Linked DNA regions of Callithrix jacchus. The protein of the gene in region 2 purifies or fractionates together with the protein of the main gene of each other region. This does not show direct contact. Links are inferred from orthologs where the notes say so. Each region holds a gene or a part of one and is shown on either strand. Other genes may lie near its edges. The genes, in order: BTRC, RAPGEF2 and MAGI1.

What was found.
Region 1: the proteins of RAPGEF2 (region 2) and BTRC purify together in Homo sapiens (affinity purification with western blotting; 3 studies listed by BioGRID, with this or other methods). This does not show direct contact. The link is inferred for Callithrix jacchus from reciprocal best matches to the Homo sapiens genes RAPGEF2 and BTRC.
Region 3: the proteins of RAPGEF2 (region 2) and MAGI1 purify together in Homo sapiens (co-immunoprecipitation; 3 studies listed by BioGRID and IntAct, with this or other methods). This does not show direct contact. The link is inferred for Callithrix jacchus from reciprocal best matches to the Homo sapiens genes RAPGEF2 and MAGI1.

Annotation. Positions count from the first base shown.
Region 1 is NC_133513.1:94,483,198-94,486,848, reverse strand, and holds part of BTRC (F-box/WD repeat-containing protein 1A), read right to left. Parts: intron 2,411-3,651; coding exon 2,314-2,410; intron 1,349-2,313; coding exon 1,211-1,348; intron 699-1,210; coding exon 580-698; intron 1-579. UniProt on the Homo sapiens protein: Substrate recognition component of a SCF (SKP1-CUL1-F-box protein) E3 ubiquitin-protein ligase complex which mediates the ubiquitination and subsequent proteasomal degradation of target proteins. Recognizes and binds to phosphorylated target proteins.
Region 2 is NC_133504.1:37,237,740-37,242,100, reverse strand, and holds the start of RAPGEF2 (rap guanine nucleotide exchange factor 2), read left to right. Parts: upstream 1-1,513; 5' UTR 1,514-1,787; coding exon 1,788-1,856; intron 1,857-4,361. UniProt on the Homo sapiens protein: Functions as a guanine nucleotide exchange factor (GEF), which activates Rap and Ras family of small GTPases by exchanging bound GDP for free GTP in a cAMP-dependent manner.
Region 3 is NC_133516.1:47,144,028-47,146,624, reverse strand, and holds part of MAGI1 (membrane-associated guanylate kinase, WW and PDZ domain-containing protein 1), read left to right. Parts: intron 1-830; coding exon 831-1,585; 3' UTR 1,586-2,597. UniProt on the Homo sapiens protein: Plays a role in coupling actin fibers to cell junctions in endothelial cells, via its interaction with AMOTL2 and CDH5. May regulate acid-induced ASIC3 currents by modulating its expression at the cell surface.

The DNA.
Region 1 (3,651 bases), on a different chromosome or scaffold from region 2:
AAAATTCCTAACAGAAGTTCCCAGCAGTGCTGCTGGTACCCAGAACTCAAGCTATCCTGGACTCCAGCAGTATAATGGCTGTGTCATCAAATCACTAACGCCTCTGGAAATTGAGGGCCCCTCCCTGAGTGAAGCTCGCAATTAAAAACTGCAGGGACGGCAGGGGAGGAGCTGACAAAGAGCACAGCTCACCTGTACATGTTTCAAAGGAGATAATACAGACCTGCACTACAGTTACAACCACCTAAAAGGACGGCTTCATTACATTCATGTCATTCCCCTGTGAGGTGGTTTTTATAATGCAAGCCTTACCATAAGGATAAGAAAAGTTTCTGTGATAGATGATTCTCCAAATTAAAATAGAATGTGTAGTTTCTTAAACGTGCGAAAATGTTAACTTACCTCAAGCATTCCTAAATCAAGTTTTCTAGTTCTAGACTGACACAAATGATGGGGACTCGGTGGTATATTCTTCTTTAGTTTCAGAACTGTGCCGATATATACAAAATTACTATCTATGACAAAGAACAGAGCAGAGCTGATGTTTCAAAGTTCAAAAGAGCATTTGAAATTTTCTACCTGACTGTGGAATCCGATGATCCGGTTATGATCACTCTTTCATCATACTGGAGACACAGGACAGAACCTGTATGGCCTGTGAGAATTCGCTTGCATTCCAATGTGTTTTTATCCCAGATCTAGGATGGCAAATAAGATCCTTTTGATCAATGTCATGATGGGGTGCTGTGGAGACTTGTTGGTCCTATTATGTATTTGATCTCCCAAAATAATCAAAGCCCATAGTAGTGTGGAATGCATTCTTTCCTATAAGTATAGCTAAGCGCGCGCGCATGCGCGCACACACACACATACATACATACATATACGGCTTCAGTACTAATACAAACCTTTATCCTTTTAATTAGAGAACAGAGTAGCCTATAATTATGTGAGGGCCAAAAGAGTAATAGCCCATTCAGTTCATTTCAAGAAGAGAATTTAACCCTAGAGACTTCCTATTTGTATAGTATTCTAGGGGGAAGCAGATGTCTGTCCTTTAAGGAAATGATTTTGGCTTTGGGACTGGAAACAATCTAAAATCTTCACTTACTTTCTAGAAATAATGCTTAGAGTTTATGCTGTGGACTGTGTTATGAATGTGGTCACCCTTGCTCCCTCAGCTACCTTCCTACAACTGAACAGACCTCACCTTGATTGTGTTGTCTCGAAGGCCGCTTACTATTTTCTGATCATCATACTGTAAACAGTAAACTCCTTTGCTTGTTTCACTTCGGCAGTGGATTCTCTGTAAACTATGTCTTCCACATCTCCAATTAGATTCTATTGTCTGAGAAGACAGAAAGGTAAAGAGGCAGTAATTAGGAAACGCCTAAAACCAAACCCTTTTTGGGCTTTAATGGCAATCAATGACTTAATGCTTTACTCTGTGGGAGATACATCGCTTAGGGAAAACTAAAAAATATCTATTAAAAAAGCTACTATCTAAATTTATAAAGTATTTTTCCTTTTGCAAGGTAATTAAAGATTTTTTCTAGAACCCCCTCCTGCATATCATTTGTTCAATTAAATAATAAATCTGGTGGGAAGAGATGACTCATCAAGAGAAGAAAAGCTATGAACTATGTGAGGTTATATGTTCAGTGCTCTTACATATGCGATGGCCATCACTACCGATGAACTTCTATGGCGGCTGAATTCAGAAGATATTTAAATATGAGCTTATGGGTACTAGTTTCCCAGTCACACTGCTATTATATGAAGGGATCAATCTCTTTAATTCTCTTTCATCTATTAGTAAACAATTTTTTAAAGCTTTAAAATTTTGCCTAGCAATTTATTTTACCTACCCTACTTAACTATAAAGAAATTGATTTTCTTTTTCTTTCTGTTTTTTTCTGAGACAAAGTCTCACTCTGTCATTCAAGCTGAAGTGCAGTGGCAGGATCTTGGCTCACTGCAACATCTGCCTCCCAGGTTCAATCAATTCTCCTACCTCAGCCTTCTGAGTAGCTGGGGTTACAGATGTGTGCCACCATGCCTGGCTAGTTTTTGTATTTTTAGTAGAGATGGCGTCTCATCATGTTAGCCTGGCTGGTCTCGAACTCCTGACTTTAGGTGATCCACCTGCCTTGACCTCCCAAAGTGCCGGGATTACAGGCGTGAGCCACCACGCCAGCCAAGAGGTTGATTTTCAACTCACGTCAATAAACCTTAATGGGCTTGGTGTAACCATACTGCAACTGAAGAAAGATGTACCATTTGGAAAATACCCCAAAATACACAGATTCTTACCTCAATGTCTTGTATAATTTTAGGATAAAGTGCTCTATAAAAAGAGTTGGGAGGAGTATTCCCATCAGGAGGTTTGTTTTTGAATAAATACTGTCCCCTAAAAAAAAAAAAAAAAAATATTTCCCAATGAAAATCATGACATTAAATATTTACTTATTTATTTATTTTTTGAGACAGAGTCTTGCTCTGTTGCCCAGGCTGCAGTGCAGCAGTGTGATGTTGACTCACTGCAACCTCCACCTCCTGGGTTCAAGCAATTCTCCTGCCTCAGCCTCCTGGTAGCTGCAATTACAGGCGTTTACTACCAAGCCCGGCTAATTTTTGTATTTCAGTAGAGATGGGGTTTCACCACGTTGGTCAGGCTGGTCTTAAACTCCAGGCCTCAAATGATCCGCCCGCTTGGCCTCCCAAAGTGCTGGGATTACAGGCATGAGCTACCATGCCCAGCCAACATATATGTAAGGAGCTTCATACATTTTCAAAGTGTTTTCACAGTTACCATCCTATATACTCTCCAAAGCTGCCTGGGGAGGTCCAAAAGTAATCTTGATTTCAGCCTTCTGGTATCTAAGGAATCTGCCTAACATTGATTTGCTTTTGGGTAAAACATTATTTCCAGTGTAGAACATTGGAGTACCAAACCTTTAGGAATATTATGAGTAGACAAATGGAATATGTATAATCAGAATTCATCTACTGGTCTATTAAGACTACTGCATAGATTCACTGGCCTCATCTTTTGGAAATTTTGTTGGTAATGGTAACTATTACCTTTGAACTAGCACATACCCCATAGTCTTTTTTTTTAACTATGTCAGTGGACCCCTGCATTGCAGACAACAGTAATGCCTGTAATGGAGATCACTTCTTCTAGGTCTTTATTTGTGTGGGGTAAGATGTGGTGGCTGCTCAGTCACCCAGGCTGCTGCTGATCAGTGCAACTATTCTTTGAAATGAGCAATTCAGTTCATTTCAACAGAAAGCAAAAGGATCACAGGTGTGTCCAGTGGCAGCTAGGGAAGAAGATAAATAGAAATGCCTAAGAGCACTGTGCTATCAAGTCTAAGGCATGAAACTGACTTTCACAGGTGTGTTCCTGGCTGTGTACATACATACATGTACTTAACTGCCTTCCCTGATTCCAGTGAGCAGCATTTGTTAGTATCTCCTTCCTTATGACAGCACATCTCTGGAATACTCATATCCCAAGCTAGATCTTTGCTACAAAAAAAATCAGTAAATGGCAATCACTTCCTGCTGGGTAAAAAATTTAATTCCTCATCCTGAAGTTAAGAACCCACCAAACACGGTGTGGAAGCTAGTAAACCCCACTATGGG
Region 2 (4,361 bases):
GGTCTAGGGGTGGTAGTGGGTCTGGTGTTGAAACCTCTCTCCCTAATTTCGTGGTCATTTTAATGTCTGAGGTGCCAAAGTGGGCTTGGAAAGCAGGGGAGGGTGCAGCAAATTACAAACAAGCAAAATAAACCCTAAGAGGATTTAACGCCACAGAAGCAACTCCGGGCCAACTCCTGGACTCAAAAAGAATGCCCCGTATGGCTCGGGCTGGCGGGCCGGTCTTCTGCCCGGGGTTAGCTTTCAGCCCCCAGGCGGCGGCTTGGCGCCAGGAGCGGGCGGGGAGCGGCGACCCGACGCGGCTGGGTCTCCTAGGAGCCAGCGTCGGGTGTGGGGAGGGGTCGCAGCGTGAGACAGTGGGGAACACTGCGAGAGAAAAGCCCTGCGCTTCTCGCCGGGGCACCGGGACTTGCGCCCCATCCTAGGGTTCAGGCCGCGTGAGGGACCCACCAGCCCGGCCGACGGCTCCGCGACCCCCTTGCAGCCCGAGCGCTGCTCACCTGGGCGCCGCCGAAAGTGCGGCTCACACGCGAGGGCGCGGCCCGCGGGCGGGCTGGGAGCGGAGAGGCGGGACCCAGCGCAAGGGAGCTGCCCGCCCCCCGATGATGCGGCGGCCGCCGACTGGCCCCTGAGCTGTCACTCACTCCTCACCATGGTTTCAGCACAAAGCAACAAGGCCCGGAGGCCGCTTCCTCCCTGAGGAGCGGCTGGGGCGACCGGAGAAGGCGCAGGAGGAGGAAGAGGCGGAGGAAGAGGAGGGGAATCTCCGCTTCCCAAACACTCTCTCCGAGGGGGCTGTCTGCTGCGCTCGGCTCTCGGCGTCGGCCGCCCGAAACTGGGCTGCCTGCGGCCCCCTCTTTCCCCTTCTGCGTCCCGCACAGACGAGGAACAAAGTTGCCGAGAGCGACTGGGCCGGAGGGCTGCAGCCCGGGCGGGGTGCTCTGGCCGCGGCGGCGCCGGCGCCGGGGCAACTCCGCTCCGGGAGCGCTGATGGGGGGAGGCGGCGGCAGCGGCGGCGGAGCCTACAGCGGCGGCCCGAGCAGCAGAGGCAGCGGCGGCGGCGGCGGCAGGGCGGCCCGAGGGGATGCAGCAGCAGTCAGGAGGGACGGCCGAGCCCAGTAGACTGAGACCAGGAGCGGTGGCGACGGCGGCCGAGGTGATCGGGCTTCGCAGCGCCCAGACCGGTGCCAGACCCACCCGGTCCGTCCTCCCGACCAGCGGCCGCGGCGCCTGAGCGCCCAAGGACTGGGGACGCGGGAGATCGGAGTGCTTCCCGGAGACCCCTGGGTGGCGGCGCGAGCCTCTGAGAGGAGGGGGCGACTCTCAGCGCCGAGGGGGAGGAGGTTCTGCCTGCCCGCTGCCCTCCCCACTGCCACTCGTACCTCCCTAAAAATAACTCGGGCCCGCTGGGGCCAGGAGGAGCTGCCACTGTCCCCCGAGTGGAGCCAGGGAGGCGTGTCTAGCCAGGGCCGGACGGAGCCTGCGGAGCGGCGAGGAAGAGGAGGAGGAAGGAGAGTTCCGCCTGCTGGGCGCAGGGTACGGCAGCCTACGCGCGCCGCGACCCTCCCGGCTGCGCCCAGCGCCCCTCGCGCCTGTACTGCGCTCCGGGCCGCCGGGCCCATTCGAGCCGCCCCCCCCGCGGGCCCCGCGCCGCCGCCGCCGCCGCGGTTTGGCTGATTAGCCGCGGGCGGGCGGGCGCAGCGCTCAGGGCGGAGGCAGCCGCGGCGCTGGGCCGGGAGGAGGCCGGCCAGGGTGCCCAGCTGCACGACCCGAGCCGCAGGGGGGAGATGGCGTCCTACGTGGATAACAGCTTCCGCCAGGCGGTAATGAAGAATCCCCCCGAGAGGACCCCCCAGGTGAGAACGCCGGGGCCGTCTGCACTTGACCGGATTTCTGCCTCGCAGGCTGCGTCTGCTCCTGTTCCCCCACCCTCTTCCTGACATAGTTCGCCCCGAGCACCCCACTTCTAGTAGTATCAGGACTCTCAATTCCAAAGGCATCCCACCTCCGAGTCTTTCACTCCGCCTTATGCTGGTTTTAGATTTCCCTCTCCTTGACGTTCTCCTCAACGCTCCTCTTCCCATGACTGACCCCCCCCCCCATGTTGTCCAGCAGAGTGAGTGTGTGTGTGTGTGAATTCTCTAGCTTTCCCTCTCCCCGGCCGCCCTTGGGGGCCTCTGAATCTCAGGGGATGAGGTCTCATCTCCCCTCGGCCAGCGACTCTTGCCCCCCGTGACTGCAGGTCCGTTCCTCCCCTTGCAAGTGGCCCTTCTACCTTAGGAGTTTCGTAGTGTTTGAAAGGTACAGTAGGAAACTTGTACGGTTGTGCTAAAGACAAATCCATTTTGACTTTCTAAAGGAAAACATTGAGGTGTTTGTATGTTTACTATTTTGCATTTTTTTTCTTTTCTTTTTTTGGAAGGATGCTGCTTTCAATTGAAGGGAAGCAAAGTTGAATAGCTAGGCTAGTGCTTTTAAATTGCAGACCTAGCTGCAGAGCAGGCATGTTCAAATACACCCCCGGGAAGGGCACCCTGCGGATTCTTTTGGTGTTGCACAGCCCTGTCAAAATTAGATAAGTTTGTTAACCTTTATACATTTGTTTACCTTCAGGCTTATTCTTTTCTTATTTTTAGCGGCCAATAGGGTTGGATTTGGTTGTCTCAAGTTTTACTAGAGTGGGCGAAATTTTATGAAAATATGGTGGCTTAATTTTCTCTACTTTTAGTTGCTGACCCGATGATGACGCATGTTCCTAAGCATTGGGATGGTGACTACAGGAGATCCTGCCTGCCAACCCTTTTAAGACAAATAAGCCCTCCTGATTCTTGGGACCATCAAAACATTTAGGATCTAATGCTTGAAAGTGTTGCTTCCCTTGTTAGGTGTTGGATGCCATCTGTTCAAATCCAAATGCTCTCGTTCTCTGATGTTGATTATTATTTAGTGTGGGGAGAGCATAATAAAATAGAGTCTTCCCCTGGCTGCCTTTGGACAAGCCCCAAGAATGGCACCTGGTACCATTTTTTGATTTTTCATTTTCCCTGATGGAGCTGTCACATCTGGGAGATCATGGATAGATTGCACATGTTTATCAAACGTGTGGAAGATGGCGGTAGTTTTACAAGAAAATTTGTTTCAGTGTCTCCAGAAAGTTCCCATTCTAAAAGACTATTTTTATTCCAACAAGGAATGTCCTGCTTTGATCTTGCCCTTGGTGTTGCACGCACGGCCTCTCCTGTGTCTTTCTCATCTATTTAAAATTGTCAGTTGAATTAGTCTTCTGTATCTGAAAATGCACATTCCTTGTCTCAATGTGAAGGAAAAGCAGATTTCAGTGAAATATTTCCTTGTCTTTCAAGAATATTAAGTGCCAAGTGAAATTACGCATGCTGAGAATGTTAGAACCTAGCAAGGCTGGTCCGAAAATGATGTCAGAGGCCTTTGGTGGAAATTAGAGAGGGGGGAAGTTGTGCATTTGGTTGATTAGTTAGAAGAATAACAATGACTAAAACCTGCTATCAGGTTGGGAGGGTGGGTCACCAAACAAGACTAGAAGAGGCAAAACCTCCACTGTGACTGCAGGGTGACTGTGCCAAATAAATGAACTGTTAAACTTTATTGTTCCCCTGCCAGTTGTGTAGAATAGGGTAAAAGCTGACCCAACACAGAATCTTGCCTGAGTCAGAAGTAAGTGGGCCAGCTATTACTAACCCCACAACATGAGAGCTCCATTGATAGTCAGAAAGCGGCACATTTGCCCCACCAAATCTTCCTAGAAAAACCAAACATCAGGAAACCTACCAAACATTTCAGACATTCCTAAGTGTCAGCCCTATTGACTTTGATGTTCATTTGGTTGTTGCTAGAGCAAACCCCCATGTTTATTTGTTTACAAAAGTTTGCTTGACTGGCCAGAGGTGATTGTCTAAAAATTTAAAATGTACTCAGAAGTTATTTTTAAAAAAGCTTTTGTAGAAGGTGCTTTTTATATTAAGAATGCTTTGTGAATGGAATGCTGGAAAAATTTCCATAGTCTTGTCTTATAAATGTTTGTGAGTTAGAATTTCACAATATAAGAAAAGCAATGTTAAATAAGCTTGATATCGTGAACAGAAGGACAGGAATTAGGAAAGTTTTGCTGTTGTGCTTCCTTCTGTTTCTGAGGATAGGCTTGATAAAGGAGTTTGTGTGATTCTCCTTATAGGCAAAAGGGAAGTGCTTTAAAAGAAAAGAATTGGAAAATATGTAACTTATTTTTCCTGCTGTTCAATTCTATTTATTTTTTAAAGTCTTGCCAGCCTCATTCATTTCCCAAGCTCCGTGAAAACATAGGTTTGTATTTAGGTCAATCAGTTGCC
Region 3 (2,597 bases), on a different chromosome or scaffold from region 2:
AGAAAACACATTTTTAAAAGTTCCTTATTTATTTTTCAAAAACAGTTCCTTATTTTTTAATGTACGCAAAAGTAGAGAAAGTAGTTGAATAATGCAAATAGAACAGTTGAATGGGCCCTTGCAAACTATCCCATTTGCCAGTCATCAACATCTGGCCAGTGTGTTGCCTCTGTAATCCCCTTTGCCTGCTACCCTGGATTGTTTTTTTAAAATAGAAGTATACTTAACCATAAGGTAAAATGCATAAATCCTGAGTATACAGTGCTGTAGATTTTTTACTTCTATATGTGCCCATTTAATCTCCACCCAGATAAGATATAGATGATGCCCACCCTCCTCCAGAAAGCTTCCCAGGTGCCCCTCCAGATCAATACCCTAAAATATTTTTTAGATAAATCAAAGCAAGTGTTCTTTAAAGCAAAGAATATTTTCTTGGGGGGTGGGAGAGGGGTGGATGCGGGGGAGAAGGGCTGGGAGGTGGGAAAGGAAGAAGAAGGGATAGCTACAGAGAGGAAATGTTGATGCCTCTAGACAGACTATTTGGATTGTGCCTTTAAAAGACTCAAATCATGACTGACTTTTGTCTGTTCTATGCCTCGGGTATGGAGAACAGTCAGCCAGCTTGACTCTGAAAGCCACAAGCACTAGTTTTCAACCCTAACTACATGCAGTTGTCCTAAAATTAACAAGATTCAGTTGGCTTTGAGTCTGACTGCTTTAACAGTTGTTTGCTTGTTGTGACTAATGAGGTCTCGAGTGTGGGTGGGAGCGGGGACAGGAGCCGAGGGACCTTCCTACCCAACTGTTGCTCTCCTTTATTTTCCTGGCAGACCCCAGCAGCGACCGCCACGGCCCCGCCACCGGTCCACAAGGTGTTCCGGAAGTGAGGGCCGGGCCCGACCGCCGGCAGCATCCGTCATTGGAGTCCAGTTACCTACCCGATCTTCACAAATCATCACCACATGGGGAAAAGCGGGCACACGCGAGGGATCCGAAAGGCAGCAGGGAGTATAGCAGACAACCCAATGAACACCACACCTGGAATGGGACTTCGAGGAAACCCGACAGCGGGGCATGCCGACCCAAGGACCGGGCGCCGGAGGGACTGAGGGACGCGCAGGCCGAGCGCGCCGCGGCCGCCAACGGCCCCAAGAGGCGGTCCCCGGAGAAGCGGAGGGAGGGCACCCGCAGCGCCGACAACACTTTGGAGAGGAGGGAGAAGCACGACAAGAGACGAGACGTCTCTCCCGAGCGGAGGCGAGAGCGGTCACCCACCCGCCGGAGAGACGGCTCCCCCAGCCGGCGGAGACGGTCTCTGGAGAGACTCCTGGAACAGAGGAGGTCCCCCGAGCGCAGGAGAGGAGGCTCGCCCGAGCGCAGGGCCAAGTCCACCGACCGGAGGCGCGCGCGCTCCCCCGAGCGCAGGAGAGAGCGGTCCCTGGACAAAAGGAACAGAGAGGACAGAGCCAGCCACCGAGAAAGAGAAGAGGTGAATCTGAAACAGGATGCTGGCAGAAGTTCCAGACATCCCCCGGAGCAGAGACGGCGACCTTACAAAGAATGTAGCACCGACCTCAGTATCTGAGATGCTGAGTCACATTCCAACCTTTACCGTGTCAAAGGTTCTAAGAGGAAGGTCACAAACCTGAAATTATTTAGTTTCTTACCTAATGAAGCATCTGACACCTGATGATCCTATGAATAACAAACATTTTATGCATTTGAAATCTTATAAGAAAAAAAAATATATGAAAAGTATTGTGCCTGATGTATCATATTAAAGAAAGTATTTTTAAATGCATACTTTTTTGGAAATTATTTGCCAAATGCTGGCCCAAAGGGATATAAATTTTGTTTCTACGTAACCTGTAGAATCGTCATGAATTGTTCCCGTTTTTGGGCAATCTTTTTCTCTCCTGGTTAAATGGGGCTGTTGATCATTTTCTCTAAGTAAGGGAATTTATTGGTTAAGTTTAATTAATTTGATATAGAGTGTTATGTAGTGATGTAGTGCTATACTGTAGTCAGGAGTTTTTCTTAAAAGCAGATAGCAAAAAGGCAAAGTTTTATTTGTAAAAGCTGAGGACCCTTTGGGATGGATTCAGTTTGCCGATGATCCTAAAATTAAGCAAACTGTATGACAAGACTACTATTGCAAATGAAGGATATTTATAGCTAAACTGCGCAGCACAAAGATGTTTTATATTGTGAGTTATAGTTGGTTCAGAAAACAGTTTGTACTCTCCCTGGCCCAGGAAGGCACAGAGACAAAAAGGTCGGCTACCTTTACCCAATATAGCACAAGCACAGACAGTCAGGTTCATGAACATCTCCAATATCTAATAAAATCTCATTTAAGGCAGTGCCATCACAGCTTTGCTCAGTTACTACAAGGAATAGACAACAAGCATCTTCCCTGTTGTCTGATTGGAGGCTGAATAGTAGATGGAATGGGGACAGCATGCTGGGTGTGAGGAAGACATAAGATCTCCAATTTGGAAAGCATGGCCCCCTTTTTAGTATAAGCCCATGGTTGCCCTTTGCCAAATTGGGGAGGAGGGAATGAGCCTTGGTGGAAGGAACCTCTCTGTTGAAAT